7 linked regions of the Xenopus tropicalis genome follow. The protein of the gene in region 4 binds, or shares a complex with, the protein of the main gene of each other region. Links are inferred from orthologs where the notes say so. Each region holds a gene or a part of one and is shown on either strand. Other genes may lie near its edges.

Evidence for each region.
Region 1: tmem17 (region 4) and tmem107 share a complex: the UniProt entries of both Homo sapiens proteins name them as parts of the tectonic-like complex. The link is inferred for Xenopus tropicalis from reciprocal best matches to the Homo sapiens genes TMEM17 and TMEM107.
Region 2: tmem17 (region 4) and tctn1 share a complex: the UniProt entries of both Homo sapiens proteins name them as parts of the tectonic-like complex. The link is inferred for Xenopus tropicalis from reciprocal best matches to the Homo sapiens genes TMEM17 and TCTN1.
Region 3: tmem17 (region 4) and mks1 share a complex: the UniProt entries of both Homo sapiens proteins name them as parts of the tectonic-like complex. The link is inferred for Xenopus tropicalis from reciprocal best matches to the Homo sapiens genes TMEM17 and MKS1.
Region 5: tmem17 (region 4) and cep290 share a complex: the UniProt entries of both Homo sapiens proteins name them as parts of the tectonic-like complex. The link is inferred for Xenopus tropicalis from reciprocal best matches to the Homo sapiens genes TMEM17 and CEP290.
Region 6: tmem17 (region 4) and tmem231 share a complex: the UniProt entries of both Homo sapiens proteins name them as parts of the tectonic-like complex. The link is inferred for Xenopus tropicalis from reciprocal best matches to the Homo sapiens genes TMEM17 and TMEM231.
Region 7: tmem17 (region 4) and tmem216 share a complex: the UniProt entries of both Homo sapiens proteins name them as parts of the tectonic-like complex. The link is inferred for Xenopus tropicalis from reciprocal best matches to the Homo sapiens genes TMEM17 and TMEM216.

What each region holds. Positions count from the first base shown.
Region 1 is NC_030679.2:144,535,902-144,539,900, reverse strand, and holds the start of tmem107 (transmembrane protein 107), read left to right. Parts: upstream 1-1,199; 5' UTR 1,200-1,306; exon of another isoform or gene 1,307-1,323; intron 1,324-3,999. UniProt on the Homo sapiens protein: Plays a role in cilia formation and embryonic patterning. Requires for normal Sonic hedgehog (Shh) signaling in the neural tube and acts in combination with GLI2 and GLI3 to pattern ventral and intermediate neuronal cell types.
Region 2 is NC_030677.2:162,883,776-162,887,922, reverse strand, and holds the start of tctn1 (tectonic-1 precursor), read right to left. Parts: upstream 2,801-4,147; 5' UTR 2,758-2,800; coding exon 2,493-2,757; intron 2,027-2,492; coding exon 1,697-2,026; intron 1-1,696. UniProt on the Homo sapiens protein: Component of the tectonic-like complex, a complex localized at the transition zone of primary cilia and acting as a barrier that prevents diffusion of transmembrane proteins between the cilia and plasma membranes.
Region 3 is NC_030678.2:41,742,356-41,745,855, forward strand, and holds part of mks1 (Meckel syndrome type 1 protein), read left to right. Parts: intron 1-1,158; coding exon 1,159-1,201; intron 1,202-2,332; coding exon 2,333-2,395; intron 2,396-3,500. UniProt on the Homo sapiens protein: Component of the tectonic-like complex, a complex localized at the transition zone of primary cilia and acting as a barrier that prevents diffusion of transmembrane proteins between the cilia and plasma membranes.
Region 4 is NC_030677.2:166,773,548-166,777,726, reverse strand, and holds the start of tmem17 (transmembrane protein 17B), read right to left. Parts: upstream 2,801-4,179; 5' UTR 2,155-2,800; coding exon 2,037-2,154; intron 602-2,036; coding exon 498-601; intron 1-497. UniProt on the Homo sapiens protein: Transmembrane component of the tectonic-like complex, a complex localized at the transition zone of primary cilia and acting as a barrier that prevents diffusion of transmembrane proteins between the cilia and plasma membranes.
Region 5 is NC_030679.2:54,382,020-54,385,519, forward strand, and holds part of cep290 (centrosomal protein of 290 kDa), read right to left. Parts: intron 3,374-3,500; coding exon 3,230-3,373; intron 1,334-3,229; coding exon 1,280-1,333; intron 1-1,279. UniProt on the Homo sapiens protein: Involved in early and late steps in cilia formation. Its association with CCP110 is required for inhibition of primary cilia formation by CCP110.
Region 6 is NC_030680.2:64,234,200-64,236,936, forward strand, and holds the end of tmem231 (transmembrane protein 231), read right to left. Parts: intron 1,589-2,737; coding exon 1,483-1,588; intron 1,269-1,482; coding exon 1,097-1,268; 3' UTR 501-1,096; downstream 1-500. UniProt on the Homo sapiens protein: Transmembrane component of the tectonic-like complex, a complex localized at the transition zone of primary cilia and acting as a barrier that prevents diffusion of transmembrane proteins between the cilia and plasma membranes.
Region 7 is NC_030678.2:178,905,790-178,910,013, forward strand, and holds the start of tmem216 (transmembrane protein 216), read left to right. Parts: upstream 1-1,424; 5' UTR 1,425-1,500; coding exon 1,501-1,513; intron 1,514-3,002; coding exon 3,003-3,019; intron 3,020-4,224. UniProt on the Homo sapiens protein: Part of the tectonic-like complex which is required for tissue-specific ciliogenesis and may regulate ciliary membrane composition.

The sequences.
Region 1 (3,999 bases), on a different chromosome or scaffold from region 4:
TCTCTTTCTATCGATCTATCAGTTTACCTTACTACACCTTCTCTCTCCCTCCTGCTGTTCTGATCAATCAGTAATCGGAACAATAGAAAGGCATTCGTAAGCCAGCCATACACGCACAGATGTTATCATCTCGTACAATATTCGGTGCGTGTATGGTGACTTGTAGAGGCGACCAATATCCCAGAGGCTGTGGATATCGGTTGAAGGCGCCATTGAAGGCGCCCGAGCAAAATCTACGTTCAGGGCTGAAGGAGGTAGAATTTCTATTGTTTCTACCTCCTTATCTGATGATTCAGCCCTGAACTTCAGCTACGTGTATGGCCACCTTTACTTGTATGCTCTCCATCCATTTGGCTTAGGGGCCACTCTTTGGAGAGCGTTCCAGATGGGCCAATGCCTGATTAGAAGATCTAGGCAGTTTGTTATACAGCCCTACACATTTTGGGGAGTGAAAGATAGCTATATCTGTGGGCCCCAGGGTCGGACTGGGGGGGGTGCAGGGCACACCAGGGCTCCCGCCCTAACCCCCCCAACCCCCCACAGGGTCCCCCACCCGACGTCCTCCCCTGAGCTCCCGTAAATTTAACGCCTCAGGGGAGGAACGGTCGGGCAGGGGGAGCGCCGGGATTTGTCCCGGTGTCCCAGCGGCCCAGTCCGACCCTGGTGGGCCCAGATAGTCAAGGGGTATGCACAGGGAGGTGCTGCTTCCCCCGCCCCCTGGAGGGTGGGAAAGAAACAATGTTTCAGGAGCCTAAACCACCTGTATAGAGGATATATAAATCCCTTGTGTAACTTCCCATGCAGTTAATTCCCTCACTGTGGGAAGTAAAGTCATAATGACGTCATTATACCCAGTAATATTCCCAGGGTGCATCAGGCCTGTAGTAAGAAGGTAGCGTGGCCGAGCGGTCTAAGGCGCTGGATTTAGGCTCCAGTCTCTCTGGAGGCGTGGGTTCGAATCCCACCGCTGCCAACTCAGCTTTTTATTTTCCCCCCTGCATCTATGGCTTGATATATTTTCGCTCGAACTGTAACTTCTTTTCGATTAGCCGCCATTGTGGAGGCTTTGCATCTATATATATGTTAGTTTGGGACAGGTTTCATAATCAGGGATGTGTCGTCGCTTTTACGACAAAGCGCTAAAACTTCCAGCTACAATAATGGCGGACTTGCCTTCTGCCCCATGTGACCGGGGCTCAGTAGGTGAATGGTCAGAATCTCCTGAATCCTGCGCGTTTTGGTTAGGACGCTGAGGGGTTGCTAGGCAACGGTAAGCGGCGGGTTTTCGGCTCGGAGATTGGAACGGGTAAGGGTTTTGTTCCAGTAAGTTACTGGTTTAACTGGTCTCTGCCCGGGGAATACTTTGTATGTGAGATATTTAATGGTTAATTTATACAGTATAAGTAGCTATAAAAGTCTGTATATATTATATGAGAGGGTTGCCGGCCTGTATATACAGTAATAGGAGTCAGGGAAGCCTGTATATATTATATGAGAGGGTTGCCGGCCTGTATATACAGTAATAGGAGTCAGGGAAGCCTGTATATATTATATGAGAGGGTTGCCGGCATGTATATACAGTAATAGGAGTCAGGGAAGCCTGTATATATTATATGAGAGGGTTGCCGGCATGTATATACAGTAATAGGAGTCAGGGAAGCCTGTATATATTATATGAGAGGGTTGCCGGCCTGTATATACAGTAATAGGGGTCAGGGAAGCCTGTATATATTATATGAGAGGGTTGCCGGCATGTATATACAGTAATAGGAGTCAGGGAAGCCTGTATATATTATATGAGAGGGTTACCGGCCTGTATATACAGTAATAGGAGTCAGGGAAGCCTGTATATATTATATGAGAGGGTTGCCGGCCTGTATATACAGTAATAGGAGTCAGGGAAGCCTGTATATATTATATGAGAGGGTTACCCGCCTGTATATACAGTAATAGGAGTCAGGGAAGCCTGTATATATTATATGAGAGGGTTGCCGGCCTGTATATACTGTAATAGGAGTCAGGGAAGCCTGGATATATTATATGAGAGGGTTGCCGGCCTGTATATACAGTAATAGGAGTCAGGGAAGCCTGGATATATTATATGAGAGGGTTACCGGCCTGTATATACAGTAATAGGAGTCAGGGAAGCCTGGATATATTATATGAGAGGGTTACCGGCCTGTATATACAGTAATAGGAGTCAGGGAAGCCTGTATATATTATATGAGAGGGTTACCGGCCTGTATATACAGTAATAGGAGTCAGGGAAGCCTGTATATATTATATGAGAGGGTTACCGGCCTGTATATACAGTAATAGGAGTCAGGGAAGCCTGTATATATTATATGAGAGGGTTGCCGGCCTGTATATACAGTAATAGGAGTCAGGGAAGCCTGTATATATTATATGAGAGGGTTACCGGCCTGTATATACAGTAATAGGAGTCAGGGAAGCCTGTATATATTATATGAGAGGGTTGCCGGCCTGTATATACAGTAATAGGAGTCAGGGAAGCCTGGATATATTATATGAGAGGGTTACCGGCCTGTATATACAGTAATAGGAGTCAGGGAAGCCTGTATATATTATATGAGAGGGTCCCTGGCCTGTATATACAGTAATAGGAGTCAGGGAAGCCTGTATATATTATATGAGAGGGTTGCCGGCCTGTATATACAGTAATAGGGGTCAGGGAAGCCTGTATATATTATATGAGAGGGTTGCCGGCATGTATATACAGTAATAGGAGTCAGGGAAGCCTGTATATATTATATGAGAGGGTTACCGGCCTGTATATACAGTAATAGGAGTCAGGGAAGCCTGTATATATTATATGAGAGGGTCCCTGGCCTGTATATACAGTAATAGGAGTCAGGGAAGCCTGTATATATTATATGAGAGGGTTGCCGGCCTGTATATACAGTAATAGGGGTCAGGGAAGCCTGTATATATTATATGAGAGGGTTGCCGGCATGTATATACAGTAATAGGAGTCAGGGAAGCCTGTATATATTATATGAGAGGGTTACCGGCCTGTATATACAGTAATAGGAGTCAGGGAAGCCTGGATATATTATATGAGAGGGTTGCCGGCCTGTATATACAGTAATAGGAGTCAGGGAAGCCTGTATATATTATATGAGAGGGTTACCCGCCTGTATATACAGTAATAGGAGTCAGGGAAGCCTGTATATATTATATGAGAGGGTTGCCGGCCTGTATATACTGTAATAGGAGTCAGGGAAGCCTGGATATATTATATGAGAGGGTTGCCGGCCTGTATATACAGTAATAGGAGTCAGGGAAGCCTGGATATATTATATGAGAGGGTTACCGGCCTGTATATACAGTAATAGGAGTCAGGGAAGCCTGTATATATTATATGAGAGGGTTACCGGCCTGTATATACAGTAATAGGAGTCAGGGAAGCCTGTATATATTATATGAGAAGGTTGCCGGCCTGTATATACAGTAATAGGAGTCAGGGAAGCCTGTATATATTATATGAGAGGGTTACCGGCCTGTATATACAGTAATAGGAGTCAGGGAAGCCTGTATATATTATAAGAGAGGGTTGCCGGCCTGTATATACAGTAATAGGAGTCAGGGAAGCCTGGATATATTATATGAGAGGGTTACCGGCCTGTATATACAGTAATAGGAGTCAGGGAAGCCTGTATATATTATATGAGAGGGTCCCTGGCCTGTATATACAGTAATAGGAGTCAGGGAAGCCTGTATATATTATATGAGAGGGTTGCCGGCCTGTATATACAGTAATAGGGGTCAGGGAAGCCTGTATATATTATATGAGAGGGTCCCTGGCCTGTATTTACAGTAATAGGAGTCAGGGAAGCCTGTATATATTATATGAGAGGGTTACCGGCCTGTATATACAGTAATAGGAGTCAGGGAAGCCTGGATATATTATATGAGAGGGTCCCTGGCCTGTATATACAGTAATAGGAGTCAGGGAAGCCTGTATATATTATATGAGAG
Region 2 (4,147 bases), about 3.9 Mb from region 4:
AATGACACCACACCAATGGCCCTTTCAAAAAATCTGAGAGGAAACACTGGAAGCCTAGTTTTTCAGCACCAAAAATGTGCTCAAAAAGTCACCCTCGGCTTATACTCGAGTCGGGTGCCATGGGTCCCTCCAAACTAGCACCCTCTGTCCTTTGTGGCCCGCTCCCAAATTTATCTTCATCTACCATCCTTACCTGTCCCATTCTGCACTAGACATTTCACTTTATATTCTATATAAACTATATATAGTTTTGAAGGATTTTAACTCTTTGTGTTTTAGCTTGGTTGCTGAGTACTCTTAAGGTATCATTGTTGATAAAACAATTGTTTTTGTTGACCCTCCACTTACAGAGCTAATTTACAGTTTTTATTTGAAATAAATATTTAAAAACATATACCCCACTGATGCCTCATTTAATGTAATTTTATTGGTATTTATTTTGATAAAACTTAACAGTAGCTGCTGCATTCCCTAGGCTTATACTCGAGTCAATACGTTTTTCCAGTTTTCTTAGGTAAAATTAGGTACCTCGGCTTATATTCGGATTGGCTTATACTCGAGTATAGACGGTGATTGAGCATTATAATGATTTATGCTGAACTGCGTGTGTGTGCAGTCCCTCCTGACTACTTATTGGCTGGTGGCACCTGAAATCCCTCTGTGGAAAATTACTTTACTCTAACTCAGAAAGAAGATTAATCTTAGTTATACTCACGCTGAAGTGGATAGTCTATACAAATATCTGCATGCAAATACGTGCAGTCTTTCAAATGGGGGTCACTGAACCCAGCAGCCTAAAATGATTGCTCTGCAAATTTACTATTTTATTGTTATTATTACTTTTTATTAATGTTCTTTACAAAGGAATGGGCCTGTCAACCAGAATGCTCGGAACCTGGGCTTTTCTGGATAAGGGGTGTTTCCATAATTTGGATCTCCATACCTTAAGTCTACTAAAAATCATTTAAACATTACATAAACCCAATAAAATTGTTTTGACTCCAGTAAGGATTAGTAAAGGGTTGGTTGACTATTTAGTAAACGTTTTGTATGTTAAAGGTAATTTGGACCCTAGCAACCAGATAGCTGCTGAAACTCCAAACTGTAGAGCTGCTGAACAAAAAGTGAAATAACTAAAAAACTACAAATAATAAAAAATGAATTGCAAATTGTCTCAGAATATTACTCTCTATATCATAGGCAAACACCCCTTTTAATATCTTAGTTGGGATCAAGTACAAGGTACTGTTTGATTATTACAGAGAAAAGGAAATTATTTTTAAAAATTTGAATTTTTTTGATTAAAATAGAGTCTATGGGAGGTAGCCTTCCCATAATTTGGTGCTTTTTGGATAACGGGTCCTATCCTATTCATCTTCCAGTCTCCTAGTCAAACCACTGACTGGTTATTAGAGTAAATAATACCCTAGCAATAAGAAATCACTGAAAAACTTAACAGAATAACTCTTGTGGGGAGGTAGCTTGAAGGGGGGCAATGGAGGGGGTGGAGGGGGCTGAGAATAGGGTAGGGTTTAGTTCTCTTTAAAAGCTTTAACATTTTCAATTATTTACAGTAATGATAGAAAGTAGTTTTAATGCTCCCATCACTAGAGAAATGGATCAATTAAATGGGCATTGCCAGACGCAGTAGTGCATCATGTTACTTACTTCTATGAAGATTTTCATTTATACTTACTGTTGGTGACTGGAGAGGGAAGAACTCGAGCACCAGGTTGGTCAGCAGAACCAAAGCTTCTTGTTAACTCATCCCCTGGAGAAGCTATGACTCCAATATCAATGACTTCTGAATCCTCAACTCCTCTATGGTCTGTGTTGTTTTCAGGTGGGACGTCTTCCTCTGCACCCTCCAACACCTGGATTTCAGGTGGTTCTGTATAGGCTGTCTCTGCAGGCATTTCATTGGCCAGGCATCCACGAATATCTGCAGCATTGCAGTCAGGATCGCAGCAACAGTTGTCATCACAGTGGGCAACCAGCAGGTCACAAACACAAACCACCCTGTTAACTTAATAAAGCAAGACAAAAATAGCAGTCACATTAGGCTGATAGCCCTACTCACACAAATATGTAGAACTATAACCTGGTAACCCCAAATGCTGGATGAATATTACTGAACCAACAGTAGCAGCTAGGAGAATATTTTGAAGTAACTTTGAAACAGACAACTAGAGGAAAAATTTAAGCAGGGCTGAACTTATATACATATAGCTATTTGATATGAGTAAAACATTTTTTCATTTTTCCATTGTCAAAAAAAAACAACCTTGCAACATGTAATAATGGGTTGAACGTATATTCATACAAATTAGAGTTCTGATTTGGCTCAGGTTTTGATATGGATTTAGTACATTCCTACTAGACTACTGCCTTTTTCCATTAACAAAAATGACATTTAAACAATACAATAAGTGGTAAAGAGTTTGTGATTCCCTTTAACCAGGCTTAGGCAGCCAACCCCCCATGCTACCTACTCTTGGTTGGGCTCAGAGGCTCAGGTGTATTTGTAGCCACAGGTAAGGTATCGCTATCATTATAGTGAGACTCCGCTTTGCCCTCAGAGGTCTGGTTGTCTGTCACATGGTCAGGAAGCAGAGGACCCCCCGTACTGTCCCAGGCCTGGGTCTCAGTTGGTTCGGTGCGGGCAGTCTCCTTAGGGCTCTCGGTAGCGAGGCTGCAAGTCCCCAAAACCACGCAACAACAAAAGAGCGCAAAGCTGCAGCTCCATAGGGAATTCATGGCGGATACATAAAGGCTTACATAGCGGCAGCCTGCCTACAGTTGCTGTAAACAACCCTAGCGACTTGCGGGATCCAGGAAGTGACGTATTGTCTATTAATCATATGGACCAGACCCTGGGAGCGGAAAGATTCGCAACTTAGGTTTTAAGGGAAATTGCCTTCTCGCAGTGTAGTGATTTGCGTTGCCTGGTTTTCTTTGGGGTTCATGCTGGACACCCATGTTATTATATTACTATATATAGTATGATATGCTTCATATTACCAATGAGGGAAACGATATCTCTGTTGCTGTTGCCAGCACGGAATACATGTACCACTAGAGCAATGATGCACAGAGATGTCATTTGAATGGGTTGGTTACCTATAAAATAACTTTCAGTATGGTGTAGAGAGTGATTTTCGGAGAAAAATTGCTATTGGTCTTTGTTTTTCAATTACTTAGCTCTTTGTTCAGCAGCAATCCTGTTTGGAATTTCTGCATCTGGTTGCTAGGGTCCAAATTACCCCAGGATAAATAGGAGAGACCCCTGAATAGCATGATAAGTGAGCAATAGGCTTTTGGCTGCTGGGGTCAGTGACCCCCATTCGAGTTGGAAAAAGTTATAAGACAGAGGCAAATAATTAAAAACTATAAAATATAAAAAAAATGAAGACCAAACGAAAAGCTGATTAGAACTGGCCATTCTATTACATAATAAAAGTTAACTTAAAAGTAAACAACTCCTGTGGACATTTAAATTCAGTATAATGGAAGGAGATTTTTTGGAAAACTATTGTGATTACGCAATTGCATTAGATTCAGCAAAATTAATGCAAATGTGTGTGCATTTTATTGCAAATTGGCTGCAGTTGAGCTGAAGTCCAGCTGGCATAATTTCCAGTGTCTGCCGCATTCAAGTGACCACTGTGACCGAATCTGGAGGTGCAAGTGTGCTGCGCTTATTGCGGCTGGGCATGAAGGGAAGCCTGAAACCAGGGTTCCCGTGTCATTAGTTGCAGCAGTGCTCTATTTAGAAAGGAAGACAGGAAAGGCCAAGTGGTGCCGAGCCAATTACACAGAAGTGCAAAGAACACATTTTGCTGCAAGTGGAGATTAATGCACAACTGACTGCAGGGAAGAGTGTGTGAGTGCAACGGAGTGCATTATTATCACCCTACTGGCTTAACTGACTGCTTTGCATATTCTGTTATAAACTTGTATAATGAAGGAGAATAACATCATACATGTAGGCAGAGCTATAACAAAAAAGGATACAGGATTTACTAAGTGCAGGACAGGGTAGGGTGCAAAGTGCAAATTGTGGGCAGAGTCTGCCATGTATTTCGTACTTTGCACCTTCTGTAAGTTGCATTTTTACACACCGTATTGCTCTTGTGTTTATGGTCTA
Region 3 (3,500 bases), on a different chromosome or scaffold from region 4:
ACTGACTATCTGCCCCTAGCTTAAAAAGTCTTCTAGTTGTGCCTGCACCCGTAAGCACTGAATCTACCTGGGTTTAGGCATGCACAACATATCTGCATATGTTGGTGGATATTGGCTGTTTTTGCCTGTTTGTGGATTCAGTGCTTACGGGTGTGGGCACAACCAGAAGATTTTTTTAAGCATAGGGGCGGATTGTGAGCCTGTGCTTATCTGCAATGCAATGTTTTTGCCAATAATTTTGCAGGCCAATTAATTCAGTCCACAGTGAGTTATCCTTGCAGGAGAATCTGGACAAAGTGGCAGTGTAGATTCCTTTATGAAATAGGACCTAGGGGTACTTGTGGATTAGAAATGTATCTGTAGCAAGCAATGTAAGTCAGCAGCAGGAAATGTCAGAAAGGTACTAAAACTACCAATCATAAAGAGGGAATAGATACAAGAAGGGGAATAGGGACATTCTTCCCCTTTACAAAGCACTGGCAAGGCAGTTTTTGTCTCCAGTCCTTAAAAAGTATATTTGTAAAATAGAGAAAATCTAGAAGAACTGCTAATGGAAGGTTGGCCAGTTTGGACCATTTACACTAGTGAAGAGATTCTCAAGGACAAGGAAAGGCATAATGACTGGGAGTGCCAATTTTAGACAAAAAGGTTGAACTTTTGGACATGTGGCTTTTTCAGCCTCATGAATGCACTGGGAAATATTTTGAATGCATTATGGCTGGAATGGATTGTGTACCATGTTTCTGATTAGAGAAGCTCTATGTATTTACAACATATTTTCCATATCCTTTTAAAATATAGCCATTTCTCAGAGAGCAGTGGATTCTGTGGCCACTAACTCACACTAACGCAGACACTTGGACCATTATTTCCCCTATGTTCTTTGCTTTGGGATAAAGGTCTTTGATTTTGGAAAGGCTACACTAAAAACAGGGCCTGGTATATATTTCAGTTTGTGCATTAATAAATGTTGGCTTAAAGCATGAATAAGCAACCTTGGCTCTGAAGCTGTTATAGAAATCTGACACACGGCACCCAAAGTAGCTAAACTGGCAGGAGAATCTAGGGTGTTGTAGTTCTGCAACAGCTAAAGTAAAAGAGGTTGCATGTAAGCAATGTTTTTACTTTAAATTTGTTTCTTCTTCTGCTTCCTCATAGCCCCCTGCAGGTACCCTAAGAGTCTTCATTAATGGGGAAATTGGTAAGTGCATTATCACGGCGAAGGATCGTATGTGCCTAAAATGCTGTTACAGTTGGTTCATAAGCAACAGGTTTATTAGAGCACATTATAATTATTCTAATAAAAAAATTCTATATCTACTGGGGCAAAGTGTATGATGAATCTCTGTGGAATATGTGGGCGTTCCATACATACAGAATAATAATACTGCATTCCACCAAATCTGTGACTTTTGAAGAAACTTTACTAGCATTTCAGGCACATCTGGTAAACCCTTCATATTTGAAAAATAAAGTTTACAGCAGAAGTTTATAGTATGAATTTGCAGTAGGATTATATTTTCAGCATTTTAGCGCATTGCTGGTCCCTAATTTATATTGTTTTATTGATTCAGGCAGCAACATATTATTATCACTGCAAAGGAAAAGAAATACAAAAACAAAGAAAGGAAGAAGAAGAGATCTGAGGGAGGCAAATGGGAAAAACAGAAGGGTTAATAAAAGGAAGTTGAGTCATATTATTAGACACGTAACCCTTGAAGAATAAATAATAAATTTCTCAGCAACTGACCATTTTACCATATTAGATTCACCTACTGAGGTGCCTACTGCTTTCTGTGATATTGTTGCTGGCTTAGTTTGCAGCTACTATCTTGGGCTGGCCGGCCATAGACCTATTTATAAACCAACCATAGCCCTCCTGTACTGTAACAGGAAGGCAGCAGGGGTGTAACTAAGGTGGGGGCAGTCAGAAACAGCAATTCTGTATGATTTTGAGTTCCTGAGGCCCAGTCTCTGGGTCAGTAGCTCTGTTGCACAGACAGGTGACATTATGGGTAAATATGACACCACCATCTTGGAAGTTACAGCGTCCCTGGCTATTTCGTAACCAAGTTCCATCACATATCATTTGCTAATGACAAATAAATGCCCATCACTAAAAAATTGTTTGTTTATTTAAAAATGCCTGAAAATTTAAAAATGAAAACATGAAACTCTTATTGTATCTGTAATAGACAATGGGTGCTGTCCTTTTCTCTATTAATCATTTGATTTGATGTCACCCGTGCTATACAAATATAACACTATATTTTGCAGCCCCTACAACCCTGCCCATCATTAATTCACCTATTTATCTTTTTTTATTTAACAGTCTCAGCACAGGAGTTTGAGTATGATAATCTCTATGTACATTTCTTTGTGGAACTCCCTAAAAGTAAGTACTAACATGGGGTAGGGTAAGACTTCTGTGTGTAATTGAAATATCTTTCTTATTATTAAATAAAGGTGCCTAAATGAGCTTGATTCATACAGTGTTTACATTAATGTGCAGTCTGAAAAACATTGATTTTACAAAAGAGAAAACCAAGTAATTAAATTGAGAACAGAGTGGGGTGTTTGATATGTTAGGAGTAACTGAAATTGACCGCAAGTTCAAATTCGGACATTACTTACAATGCTGTGGCCACAAGAGGGCGCTGCATCAGACAATTGCAGCCAGTGCATCAAAATTGTGTTTGTGAGTCAAGATGTTGTCACTTCCAGCACTAGGGTCAAAATTACTTCTGCATTGAATTCTTTGAGTATGTCAATTGATGCAAGCCAATGTGGTGAAACCTGGCGCTACTGCTAAACGCACACAATTTACAGCAGACGGGACAGATATACATACTGTAACTGCAAGGATGAATTGTTCCAATTCTCGTGTCACTGTATCCCCATTTGCACAACCTCAACTGAGGATGTGAGTAGAAAATTAGCCCTTAAAGGGGACCTGTCACCCTATGAGATAATTCCAAATCGTTTTCTAGTGTGTTTGTCAAGCAAAATAAACTTTATTTACACTATATAAATAGTATAAATCTTGTTTCCTCCAGTCATGGAACTACACAATTACAGCATGCAGGCAGGTGCCATTTTGTGGTCGCAAGCTTTGTATCACCCCAAAATCTTGTTTATGTGCCGGAATGAGGGACCTGATACACATGCCTATGCACTGGCTAAACCTTTTAGACGGTGAGGAGGGAGGGGGAAAGTGAATGTTAATTGTCTGAACAGGCAATATTTGATTGATAGCTAGGATTTTTAAATTCCTTTAAAGTGGGTTTGGATGAATTTGGGCTTCATGTTTAATTTGAAAAAGAGTTTTATTATACAGCTTTTTTTTTTCTGGATGACAGGTCCCTTTAAGTAAACATTTTATGTAAACAAGGTGCAAATTGACAAAAGTAAGTGTAAAGTCTGCACCTTGCCCTTTATTTCTAAATCCAGCACAGGATGCAGAAGGCATATGGACTGTTAGGGGTGCAATTTTCATGTAT
Region 4 (4,179 bases):
CCAAAAAGAAATGAATGAGATGGAGAAATATAATTGATAAAAAATGTCTGTTCTATTATCATAATACTGTATGTCCATTATTTTCTTTTGATTCTTTTATTTCTAATTATATATCAAAGAACCAGTGAAGATACATTTTTTTAACCAGGGAAAACCTATAACATTTTTAATCTGTTCTGGACGTTATGGACTCTTTATATTTTATAATGTGACTTTACCTTCTCTGTTCTCTTTTCCTATTTAACAAATAGCACAGAGCACCTCTGATGATCCTGAATATAAATGGGTAAAGCTCTTTTGTTTTAATTGACACTACAAAACACTTATGCCTGTAATAATACAAGCAATCCGCTTAGTGATCCCCCTCTGCTAACTGTTTGGAAAATGCAGCAAGAAGTCAAATTTGAATCTGAATCAATTTGCCCCCATAGCTTGTGTGTATGGCTACAGGGCTACTAGATATCTTCATATTAGAAGAACATAATAAAACACTTTACCTTGAGTTCCATGGTAATGATCTCTGATATAATCCAGAAAGGAAAAAAGAAAGCATTGAAATATAACATCATCTGTAGTGGAAGGCTTGACAGTAGGTCATGGCCTAAAACAAAGGAAAATATACAGATATTTTATTTTCAGCCCATTGACCATTTGCAAACATTTTTGCCTTGTTAAGACTGAAGCTTTGAGAGCAGAACTTTGCAGCATCAAATCAATATCAAGTAACAACATTTGTGCTTTAAATGTCCTTTTTTCTGTTATTGTGCAGTATTTCATAAGAATACATTTTAGTACATTTATTTGTATAAATACCATTTGTATATGCTGAAATCCAGCTGCAAAATAGTTCTTCAGGTGCTGCATCATTTGAAATACTGTCAGGGAAGGAAGTACTAAAACATTGATGTTACAAATTGTAACAACTCCTCTACAACTTATAGGCAGCATGCAGGAACTATATAACCCACAATGCATTGTACTGTAAACAGGGGCAGCAGAAGCGCAAAAATCAGCTCCTGGTAACTTTAAGAGCCGAATTTCCGGTTTTTAAACCGGAAATTCGGCTCTTCTAGTGCAGAGAGCGCAATTGCGCTCTCTGCACTAGCGATCTCACTGCCCCCGGACCCGCTCCTGCGCTCAGAAGGTAAGCGCTGGGGAGCGGGGGGGGGGCGGCATCCAGGAGCCACCTCAGGCGGCGATATGTCCAGAATCGCCCCTGACTGTGATGTTCCTTTCTTTATTGACATTATGTGCAGTGGATTCTGGGACTTGGAGGATGCAGGTTGAAGGCAGGCTGAGGACAGTCGACTACTGTTACATTTTATTTGAGTTGTCAAAGTAGACAGCCAGATCAGCAGGACAACAGGGAACAGGCTTAGGTAACTGTTCCAAAGGCTTAGGTAACTGTTCCATATGTTTTTAATTGCTATATATTGCAACATTGCTTAAAATTATGTTTACATTTCAAAAAGCTTAGGGTGAAGTCCCCTTTAATCTTGCAGACTGCAGTTGTGAATAGCTTCGGAAAACTGCCCTCTCCTTCCCAGCTTATTGGGATAAAGCAGATTGGCTTTTCACAGATGGAGACCTAAATGTGCCTGTCTCCATAGAATGCCAGAGATGATAATAGCTTCAGAAGCTGGGTGTAAAAGAAACAAACTTTGATGTGCCTATTAATAATATAAACATTAAAAAATAGGACAATTACCTGTATTGTATTAAATTTTGTATAAAGAATTGTCCTTTGTCAAGTACAATCTATTCATTAGGAAGAACAAATTAACAAGTATTTATAAAGCACCAACCTATACTTCAGCACTGCAATATATGGGTGTGTACATCAAACCTACATGTTACATACAGATACAAACAAATCATAATAATGACTCTGCTTGGAGTCATTGCATGGATTTAAACTTACAACTGTAACTGTAAAAAGATGGCTACTTCTGGGCTATGCTTTGAGCCTTACTTCAGATTGCAAAATCTGGCAGCACAAAACATATCACTTATTCCTGAGTTACAAGGCACAATACCTGACTGATATGCATGTTGTTCTCCACAGTCTCTGGTCTTATTTTGAATGAAGAGAGATCCACTAATTCTGGCAAGTCCATGCCGTACGCTGCCAGGCAGTGGAGTAAGAAGAGCCATCACCACTGCTTAGCAGATGCTAACTCTGTCTTTCTATAGAGATCAGACAGGATTACTGTCATCCTTGCATGTTGATTAAAATGTTTCAATGGGATTTGCAACAGGCTGCTTTACTAAAGGATTATTTTAATCAGAACCTGAAGAGAGCTAATTTGGTACAATCCTGCTGTGCAGTATTTTTTCCAATGTATATTAAACTTTCCTATCCTCCACTGGTTTGTAATCTAACTTTTTGCACCATATTGCTTGTCTAGAGAAAATAGTCACAATTTACAATATAAACTCAAGCTTTCTCCTACTGTAATATTATTATGTTCATTGTTGAATGTTTAACCAATTTTTCCAAATTGTGGCATCAAAATTGGCCACCACTAACCCCATTATTGCCAGTGGAATCACATCTCAATTGAATATTTTAGAATATTGTTTTTTTGCTGGAGAAAATGCCCGAGTATTACCTAGACCTACAGTTTAGAAGATTATATATCAAAAAATAGTGTCAGTGAATATGCAACCTGGGTTCTGGATGTTGCTGTGTTCAGAAGAATGATGGGTTGTGTAATTGGGTTGTCAGTCCACAAATAAAATTCCATGTTCCTTCTTTGGTAAAGATCTTTAAAAGATCATAATTCTTACTCAATATGGAGTGTGTTTGGAAAAGAACAGCTCCTGCCTATGGAAGCAACTACTGATTAGGCATTTGGGGACAAAGGATTTTCTGATTCCATGCCTGCAAGGAAATAATAAGAAGCACCCGTTGAACTAACTACAAATGTAACCCTCAACCCTCTTATACTGTACATTTGTTTTGAGTTTACTGGTCATCCACAAGGTTGCCCCTTGTAAGCTATTCCTCAAACAAATAAGCTGGCCTCAAGAAAATTAGGAGAGAGTTGCGACTGCAATGACCAACTGGCCTATGGGAAGCATGGTTGGACTGGATTTTCTGAGCAGTCAGGCACTCATCTTCTAGAATCAGAGGATGGCCTATTGTAACTTGCAAGCCAAAAGCAGCTTAAATGCTGTGCAAGCATGCTGTATATTCACAACATTTGTATACGCTACAATGTACAACATTGTTTTATAATAATAACATCAAATCCAAAAAAGAAGATATTGCAGCAATATTAAAACAGACCAGTGTTGTCCAAATAAAATTATAATGTTTTTACTGCACAAACCTTAGGGTTATGCAATTGGGATAATATTTGTAAAAACCTAAATAGATACACCATGGGGACTTGTTGTGCAACAAAGGTGTATGTGGTACAACATTACTATACATTGACTTTGTAGTTAGTGTACTTTTATACTGACTTGTGGTTACATAAAGTAATGGAGGAAACATGAGCCTTTCAGTGGGCTCCATTGCTTACAAATACGACATCATGAGATGACACAACAGATTTGACACATTTGTTTACTTTCTTTTGGTGGAGGGCTTCACCTATGTGCAGTCCTAACTAAAATCATTGCATTTTTAAATAGATGTAGTATATTGATCACTTTTTTCTCTTTTTTAATTCATACCTTCCCTTTATATTGAAAGACACAAGCATAGATAGGTACAAGATGCAAACATATTTGTGTCTGTTTCCTCCATGAATGGACTCCTGATAAAAACTGATTATGGTGTCGGTGAATGAAAGCATTATATCCTGTTCTGGCATTTCTTATAAAAGGTTGAAAAGAGGCCAGAATGTTGCAGAACATATTTACACACACATTTGACATGTGCATTTGGCTAACTTTTTACTACAGCACAGAATGTGGAGGTACATAGGGTTACTACCTTTTCTGAAACAAAACTGACCTTCCTATATTGTTAGCATTTTTTCTTATTCATAACGGTTCTTATTAATAACAAGCTTGAATTTTACTGGCCAGGTGGCAACCCTAGTGGTACTGAATCCAAAAATAGTTGTGATATTAGTGACCCTCCCTCCCCACCTGAGATTCTCCTCCATTCCTCCTTCCACTCAATGTCCTTCCCTTCTCTAACTTGTAAGACTTTTCTGACACCCC
Region 5 (3,500 bases), on a different chromosome or scaffold from region 4:
ATGGACATCATTTTCACCTAAAATTGTCATGTCTCACCTGATCTGATGATGGATATATCTCTTGATAACTGTGTTTACTAACTATATCCATTGACTGAGCAATACAGGTACAAGTATAGGATCCCTTATCTGGAAACCCATTATCCAGAAAGTTCCAAATTATGGAAAGGCCATCTCCCATAGACTCCATTATAAGCAAATAATTCTGATTATTTCCTTTTTCTCAGTAATAATTAAACAGTACCTTGTACTTGATCCCAACTAAGATATAATTAATCCGTATTGGAGGCAAAACAATCCTGTTGGGTTTATTCAATATTTAAATGATTTTTAGCAGACTTATGGTATGGAGATCCAAATTACGGAAAGAATTCTTATCCGGAAAGCCCCAGGTCGCGAGCATTCTGGATAACAGGTCCCATAACTGTATTTCAATATTATTTTTGTACCTCAACAGAATGTCTGACTCTGAGACTCAGACACGAAAACAGTGCATACTAACTGGCTGCCACTTTATCAACTACAATGCTCGACATTTACGTGGTAAAATATAAAATATAAGCTCATTTTGCAGTGTTTATGCCCTACGAGGGCTTATTTATTAAGGACAACCACAGCTGCGATCATCACCTGTGAATAAGGGGTGGGGCTGGGAGTAAGCCTTCTGTCCAGCAAGGAGAAGAAGAAACAGTACAGCTGGAAAGCGGAAAAAAAAAATTGCCAGGGAGACTGCAAGTGAAATATTTATTAAATTGGTCTGAGTTCAACTAACAGTGGTTGAGGCACTTTGGGGAAAAAAAAACCTTGCTATGAACACAGGATATTTTTTCTTTTTGGTAAATACTGATTTATTTTAAACATTTCGGTCACATTCCATTCTTGTTTGCAATCAATACATTTAACAGAATCCTGCCTTTTCTGCACCAGTGTTATGCTCTGTTATATGATTCCACGTTTGAACGTTATCAGTGTAATTTAACAGAAGGTGTAAAGTTTGTACTGGTCTCGTTGCTCATAGCTACCAATAAGCAAGTAGCATTTAGCTGTTGGAAAACAAACATTATTTGGAGAAAAATATAGATAAGAATCATACAGAAACCCATTATCCAAAAAACAATGAAATGAAGCAGTCATTTCCAAAAAATTTCTATTAAAAATGAACAATAATGAATTTGATTATTTTTTTCAAACCACTTAAGTACTATCTAAGCAAACAATAATATCCTGCTGGGTTTTCAACAAACAAGCACACACAAATTAAGAATTAATCAGCACCTACCTCTCTTCTTAACTTGCTGTTTTCATTATCAGTTTCTTCATTTCGGAGGGCAAGCTAAAAGAGTGAATAATGAAATAGCTGGATTTATAACTTTCATTTTAACTTTTTATTTTCATTGTTACGCAGACCCTACTTGCATCAAAATGCACTCTTTACAATTCCATATAGTTGTGCTTAGTGCTGCTCAGTCCTCCCTGCTTTCCATTCTGAATCAGGCACTGCTGCACCCAGTCACGCAGGGAGAACACTGGAGCTACTGCCACCTTCTGACCAGGCAGTAGCTCCAGGGTTCCCTTCATACCCTGCACCAATAGAAGGAGCACACTTGCTCCCAAAGAATTGGGCATGCGTTACTCACACCGTACATCGGAAATTATGCCAAGCGAACTTCCATGCAATTGCATTTTATCTCTGAGAAAATGCATGTGCAGTTGTGCTAATTTTGCCAGATCAAAAGCAACTGCACCAGGGCAATTCCCGCTTGCTGCTGCAATGACGCTTGCAGGAAAAAATCCACACATTACCTATTGTTAATAGTCATTCTCTGATAACATTTGACTTGCAAATATGGTTATATTCTGGCACAAAAATTGTTACATGCATCTCAGTAATAACAGCACTAAAGCATTATTGTTACACAAATATATTTTTTCCTCAAAAGCATTTTAGAAATTACACCACAGTAAAGTTGCAATTGGCTTACACATTAACCATGCTCTTTATGGTCTTTCAAATGCAAACGTAAGGGCATATTTATTGTAATGTGTAAGCCAACATCACCGGTGATATTGCCCATAGCAACCAATTAGCAATTACATTTAAGTTAGAAAACAAAAGCAAAGATCTGATTGCTTGCTATGGGTCACATCACCAGTGATGTTGGCTTACACACTAGAATAAATATGCCCCAAAATGTGATTTGCTCCTTCACTGCTGATCAGTTTCTTTTTTGTTTAAATGTACATTTTGTGCTCTTTTCCTTAGGGGAATTTCCAGGTGGTGATATTTAGAAAACGATGCCTTCAGAACAGATGATTAACCAACCGACTGGTTTATATCATATAAAGAGGCCTATTATAGAATCTTACCAAACTGGAATATACCTTGAACCACTATTTTGTGATGATCTTTGTGCTTCTTTAGAGTTCGCCTTATCAGAAATAATGGTGCTCTAACTGTAACTGTACAGGAAGAAGTGTAGGAGCAAAACACAGGACTTTGTTCATTAATTGGCTCATAAGAATGAACATGTATGTGTACCCATGGTTTATCTGTGTGCACCCTGAATAGTACGGACCATGAGGTTGGTCCTTAATACTTAAAATAGGATTAACCAATAGCACATACTACTAAATTAGTATATTTTTATTAAAATGGTTTATTTAGCTGAAGCAGAGGTTTACATATAAGCTGTTGTATGCAATATATTTTTATAGAGCCCTTCAATGTTAGGGTGTATAGAATGTCAAGTTCCACACCAGAAATCAAATTGGATTGGCATGCAACTGATGCAGTAATTGTGAGCGAGAAAGATTCATTCTAAAGGCTCTGGCAATAGAAAAATGGAATAAAATGTAACAGTTAGTAAAAATTAGTGGCACAATGAACACACTGTCAAAAGGGAAGTTTTCCTGGGTTCTGATCTTTTAAAGGAACAGTAACACTAAAAAATCACATCACAGGACATCACAGTAATAATAAAAGTACCAGACTGAGATAGTAGTAATGTGGGAACTACATCTCACTGTCAAATGGGATCTGCTTTGGTATGAAAACATTACAGTTAGACAGGAACAATACAAAACTTTTTGTCTCCAAGCTAAAAAAACATTTACAAAAATGTACTTTATTTTTGTTCACACGACCTAGTATCTTCCAATAACAACACTGTTTAGCTTCACAAAATATACCGACACAAATGAAAGGAAGGTGGTCATTGATATAACTTACTTGTTCATTAACTTGTTTCTCCCTTTCCAACTCATTTGCCATATCTTTGCATTCTCTCTCACTCTGACGCAACTGCTCCTCCAGCTGTCTAATTTCTTCACGCAAAAAACGTGAATCTCTGCTACCAGAGGATAGCTGTGCCACCTGTTTTAAAAACAAGAAAAAATACATTCTAATATTTGAACTTTGCCTTTCAAATTGAACAACTTTAAACTGAGGTTATCTATATCCTAAAAATCTGTAGAAGAGAAATGTATCCTATATAATGTAA
Region 6 (2,737 bases), on a different chromosome or scaffold from region 4:
GATAAAGCTTACTTAGTTTTTATCTTTCCTTCTCCTTTAAAGGGGACCTGTCATCGTAAGAAATAATTCCAAATTATTTTCTATCAGATTAGTCAAGCATAATAAACTTTACTTACACAATATAATTATTGTAATTAATTATTTAATTATTTAAATCCTGTTTCCTTCAGTCTTTACACAGTCTTTACACAACTACAGCAAGCAGCCAGGTGCTATTTTAGTAAGGAAAGCTTCGCTTCAACAACAAAATCTTGTTTATGTGCCAGAATGGGGGACCTGATGCCCATGCCCATGCACTGGCTACACAGTTAGATGGTGAGGAGGGAGGGGGAAAGTGATGAGGGTGGCAGTGACATCTACGAAGTGCTGAATGGAAAGTGAAAGTAATTGTCTGCCCCACCTCTATGCCTAATACAATATATGATTTACAGCTGGAATTTTTAAATGCCTTTATAATGGGTTTGGATGTGTTAATAAAAAAAGGAATTTGGATTTTATGTTTCATTTTAACAGGACTTTTATTATACAGCTTTTTATGTTTGGGTGACAGGTCCCCTTTAATAAAAATGAAATATTCAGTTAATAATAACTGAAATATTTGGGAAGACTGAGATATTTTGCAAAACAATTTCTAGCTTCCACAAAAAAATGACTAGGAGCGAAGAAATTTAAGATGGAGTGGTACCAGTAGTATACGGCAATCCAATGTACTGCCAGTGCCACTGGATTTTTAAACCAACACTCTCTTCAGAAAGAAGGAAATATTACCAAAGGAAGTACATTTAGGTTCATTTTTCCAAGAAGATATTATTAAAACATAGCATTAAATGTATGGGCTGTTGAGGCAAGCTTTCACCTCTTGCTTAATTACAACCCTTAGAATTCGCTTAGTGTTATTTGCATGTTTTGTGGGAGTTGAAGTTTATCAGTAACACGTCTGAAATTCCTGCTGTAATAATTCCAACATAGCAAATAGGTTTCCTCTCATGTTCCTGAAAATCCACTTCTTTATCACAGTAAAGAAAGAGAAGTTATTAGAAGTCTTAAGGCCTCAAAAGGCATACCCAAGATCCAGTTTATCATATGGGGTTGGTTATCAGCTCTGATGACTTTTATACAATGATGGTATTGGGCCTGGTACTGTAGTCAAAACTTGATTTTGAAAAACAAATATTTTAATTCTCTCAAATACCCAAAGGAAAATGAGAAGGATACTGACATACTGAATCCATGCATATTTTAGCATTTCCCAGAATCCAGGCACATATGTGGATAATGTTAAGGAATCTTCAAAAGGGACATGTGGCACTAATATTGAAAACAGTAAACAAAATCCCAGGAAATAGAAATCAGAAATAGCCCAAGCACCGGATATAAAAGTAATAGTTTTCTTAATACTTGTAGGCATATGAAATACTCTAGAAGCTGTGCATATGCACAAAGAATTATACTTTTCAAACTTGTACAAGAGTTAAAGGATATGATATTGATTCCACGGGATACCGGATAACAGCTTTTATTACAAATGGATCAGAAGCAGCTCTCCCAACAATCCACAGGGGGTTTGGGGCATTCAGAACTGTGGTCACTGCAACCAGATAACATTAAAAAGTTAACAAACACAAAAAGATGCCTAATACTTTAAGGTAAATAATAACAACTATAATAATGCATAAAATATAAAAATATCTCACAAATCTCTCACAAAACAAACAAATCTGTTGCCAAAAATGATGTTGCCGAAATTTATGTCTATTCTGTATACATACACACAAACACTACAAATATAATGAATATATATATATATATTTTTTTTTATTATTATAACGTTTAATTATGTTTCACATTTGACATACAGCCCCTTTTCTACCCTTTTGTGTTCAAAGCCTCAGGGTTACAACTGTCCTTGTCCACCATACTCTAAGCACTGACCATTTAGCATTGGCTCCCATAATACAGAGCAGTTTAAGATTTCCCGTTAGGCTTGCAAACTCTTCCATTTAAACCAGCACACATATTTATTATCTTACAGTGAATGGTTCGTCAGCAGCTAAGAACAGTTAATGTGCCATTCAGCATGGTAGGGGTCATTTACAACTGCTAGTACAGCAGCAATGCCGCTAATTTCCTTGCAGTAAGTTGCATGAGAAAATTGGGTAAGAAGGTACTTGCTTAGAAAGGTACTTTTTGCACTTCCATATGTTGCTTGGCACTGCTCAATTCTTCCTGCCCAAATCAATTGGCACAGACAGTTATGCCAAAATAGGTGGCACATGTCACTCACACATGCCAAACATTATGGAATATAAATTGTGTGTGGGTGATGTGTTCAACAGTGTTTATGTTCATCTAAAATCTGATCAGTATATACCCTAGTGCTTTTAATGTCCAGTGGATTGGGCAACTTCATAAAAATGTATAGCTATAGATTTTAATATATTTCACATACATTCATTCTCCCAAAAGGCCACACATATACAGTAGTGCATTGTCCATCAAGGAGCAAATAAACTACTAGACAGGGCAAGAGGGATACGTGCTCTAAGCTACTAGTATTAAACATATGAAATCTATTATTTTTAATGCTTAACTTCTGAGATTATCTAGATAAAAGGTCTTTTAATAAAATTAAGCACCATGCTTTAAGAAAGGAATGAGAGAGACATTTATGCTAGCTTATTTAACATCAATTACTAGCAACTGTCATAATTTTAGAGAGAAAAAGTAAATACGTTAC
Region 7 (4,224 bases), on a different chromosome or scaffold from region 4:
AGGGTGGGATCAAGGTGGGGATCAGGGTGGGGATTAAGAAGGAAACAGGGTGGGAAAAGGGTGGGGATCAGGGTGGGAAAAGGGTGGGATCAGGGTGGGGATCAAGGTGGGGATCAAGAAGGAAACAGGGTGGGAAAAGGGTGGGGATCAGGGTGGGGATCAGGGTGGGGATCAAGAAGGAAACAGGGTGGGAAAAGGGTGGGGATCAGGGTGGGAAAAGGGTGGGATCAGGGTGGGGATCAAGGTGGGGATCAAGAAGGAAACAGGGTGGGAAAAGGGTGGGGATCAGGGTGGGAAAAGGGTGGGGATCAGGGTGGGAAAAGGGTGGGGATCAGGGTGGAAAAAGGGTGGGATCAGGGTGGGATCAAGGTGGGGATCAAGGTGGGGATCAAGAAGGAAACAGGGTGGGAAAAGGGTGGGGATCAGGGTGGGAAAATGGTGGGATCAGGGTGGAAAAAGGGTGGGATCAGGGTGGGATCAAGGTGGGGATCAGGGTGGGAAAAGGGTGGGATCAGGGTGAGGATCAAGGTGGGGATCAAGAAGGAAACAGGGTGGGAAAAGGGTGGGGATCAGGGTGGGAAAATGGTGGGATCAGGGTGGGAAAAGGGTGGGGATCAGGGTGGGGATCAAGGTGGGGATCAAGAAGGAAACAGGGTGGGAAAAGGGTGGGGATCACGGTGGGGATCAGTGACCTGTAACTCCGCCCATGTGTTACTAAAAGTAAATATAAAGGGGAAGTTGACCCTTTATTGGGCTATGGGTTCTATAATGAAGTAACTGTGAGTAACATAATTAGGTGAGTAGCAGTGAGACGAGGAAACCGTGGGTGGGAACATCCGGCTCTTGAAGCGAGGGTCTCGCATCTCAGCCCCAATTAATAACGACTGCGCATCACTACTGAGAGACAGCAGCATCGGCCCCCAACTCTCCCACCCTCGCTCCTCTACTGCCCCCCGTGCAGTCATTAGTGCTCATACTGCCTCTTGTGTTTGGAATAACCTCTTCAGTGTTATAAAGGGTTGTCTCCATCTTGCCCTACTGTCTCCATCTTGCCCTACTGTCTCCATCTTGCCCTACTGTCTCCATCTTGCCCTACTGTCCCCATCTTGCCCTACTGTCTCCATCTTGCCCTACTGTCCCCATCTTGCCCTACTGTCCCCATCTTGCCCTACTGTCCCCATCTTGCCCTACTGTCTCCATCTTGCCCTACTGTCCCCATCTTGCCCTACTGTCCCCATCTTGCCCTACTGTCCCCATCTTGCCCTACTGTCTCCATCTTGCCCTACTGTCTCCCTGGGCAGAGGAGCTAGCAATCTAATTTGGCTGCAGGTACACTCTCCATTGAACAGTTCCCAGAAGCCCAGCCAGTCCCAGTTATTTAGTGGCCCTGAATGTTAGGGGGGAAGGCGCTAGGACCCCGCGGCGCACAGGCGGCTCAGGGGGTCACGTGTTGCGGAGGTTTCCAGGGAGTGACGTCACAGGCGTCCTTAGAGCAGCAAGATGGCGCCCAAAGGTAAGCGGGAGGCGAAGCAGCGGATGGAAGAGCGGCCCCCCTGCTCCCTGTAATGGCGCCTGTAAGCGTGGGGCTACTGTGTCCCCTATGCAAGAGGTGCAGCTGATCAGCGGGACTACAACTCCCAGCATCCCCTGCACCCGATGCCGCTACGCTGTCCCCTTACCTGCTGCATAGGGACCCGCACCGCTAGTGTGCAACTACAACTGGGGGGGGGGGGGGGGGGCTGTTAGACCACAATTCCCGGCATCCCCAGAGAAGCAGCGACTTCTCCCTGTTACCCACAATAGCGCACATTCCCCGGGCAGGTGGGTATATTATGGGCAGGTGGGTATATTATGGGCAGGTAAGTGGGTATATTATGGGCAGGTGGGTATATTATGGGCAGGTGGGTATATTACGGGCAGGCGGGTGGGTATATTACGGGCAGGTATGTGGGTATATTACGGGCAGGCGGGTGGGTATATTACGGGCAGGCGGGTGGGTATATTACGGGCAGGCGGGTGGGAATATTACGGGCAGGCGGGTGGGTATATTACGGGCAGGTATGTGGGTATATTACGGCAGGCGGGTGGGTATATTACGGGCAGGCGGGTGGGTATATTACGGGCAGGCGGGTTGGTATATTACGGGCAGGTATGTGGGTATATTACGGGCAGGCGGGTGGGTATATTACGGGCAGGCGGGTGGGTATATTACGGGCAGGTATGTGGGTATATTACGGGCAGGCAGGTGGGTATATTACGGGCAGGCGGGTGGGTATATTACGGGCAGGCGGGTGGGTATATTACGGGCAGGTATGTGGGTATATTACGGGCAGGCGGGTTGGGGTATATTACGGGCAGGCGGGTGGGTATATTACGGGCAGGCGGGTGGGTAATATTACGGGCAGGGGGTGGGAATATTACGGGCAGCGGTGGGTATATTACGGGCAGGCGGGTGGGTATATTGAGGGCAGGCGGGTGGGTATATTACGGGCAGGCGGGTGGGTATATTACGGGCAGGCGGGTGGGTATATTACGGGCAGGTATGTGGGTATATTATGGGCAGGCGGGTGGGTATATTACGGGCAGGCGGGTGGGAATATTACGGGCAGGCGGGTGGGTATATTATGGGCAGGCGGGTGGGTATATTACGGGCAGGCGGGTGGGAATATTACGGGCAGGCGGGTGGGTATATTATGGGCAGGCAGGTGGGTATATTACGGGCAGGTGGGTATATTACGGGCAGGCAGGTGGGTATATTACGGGCAGGCGGGTGGGAATATTACGGGCAGGCGGGTGGGTATATTACGGGCAGGCGGGTGGATATATTACGGGCAGGCGGGTGGGTATATTACGGGCAGGTATGTGGGTATATTATGGGCACCTACAGGGGGAGACCAAACATGGCTGCTCTGAGTGCTGGGAGGGGCCCCCGGCCCCCACTGGGTCTTCTGCTTGGTATCATGTGACTTGTGCTGCCCCCTAACTGTGCGTTTGCTTCCCAGGGAGAAGGCGCGGAGTTGTATCCTTGGCACTTACATAGGTGAGACGGTACCAAGTCACCTGTACAGGTATAGCCTGGCCCCGCCCACTGCTTCTTATATTCCTTTAACAATTCATGGGGGTACATTACCCCTTATAATACATGAGTGATACTCAGAGTTCCCTGTATAACTCAGCCTGCAGCCTTGTGCCTTTATATGGGGGGCACAGAACCCCTCAGTGACTGCTAATATCCTTATCATTTACAGTAGGGGGTACATTATCCCTTATAATACATGAGTGATACTCAGAGTTCCCTGTATAACTCAGCCTGCAGCCTTGTGCCTTTATATGGGGGGCACAGAACCCCTCAGTGACTGCTAATATCCTTATCATTTACAGTAGGGGGTACATTATCCCTTATAATACATGAGTGATACTCAGAGTTCCCTGTATAACTCAGCCTGCAGCCTTGTGCCTTTATATGGGCACAGAACCCCTCAGTGACTGCTAATATCCTTATCATTTACAGTAGGGGGTACATTATCCCTTATAATACATGAGTGATACTCAGAGTTCCCTGTATAACTCAGCCTGCAGCCTTGTGCCTTTATATGGGGGGCACAGAACCCCTCAGTGACTGCTAATATCCTTATCATTTACAGTAGGGGGTACATTATCCCTTATAATACATGAGTGATACTCAGAGTTCCCTGTATAACTCAGCCTGCAGCCTTGTGCCTTTATATGGGGGGCACAGAACCCCTCAGTGACTGCTAATATCCTTATCATTTACAGTAGGGGGTACATTATCCCTTATAATACATGAGTGATACTCAGAGTTCCCTGTATAACTCAGCCTGCAGCCTTGTGCCTTTATATGGGGGGCACAGAACCCCTCAGTGACTGCTAATATCCTTATCATTTACAGTAGGGGGTACAGTATCCCTATAATACATGAGTGATACTCAGAGTTCCCTGTATAACTCAGCCTGCAGCCTTGTGCCTTTATATGGGGGGCACAGAACCCCTCAGTGACTGCTAATATCCTTATCATTTACAGTAGGGGGTACAGTATCCCTTATAATACATGAGTGATACTCAGAGTTCCCTGTATAACTCAGCCTGCAGCCTTGTGCCTTTATATGGGGGGCACAGAACCCCTCAGTGACTGCTAATATCCTTATCATTTACAGTAGGGGGTACAGTATCCCTATAATACATGAGTGATACTCAGAGTGGGAT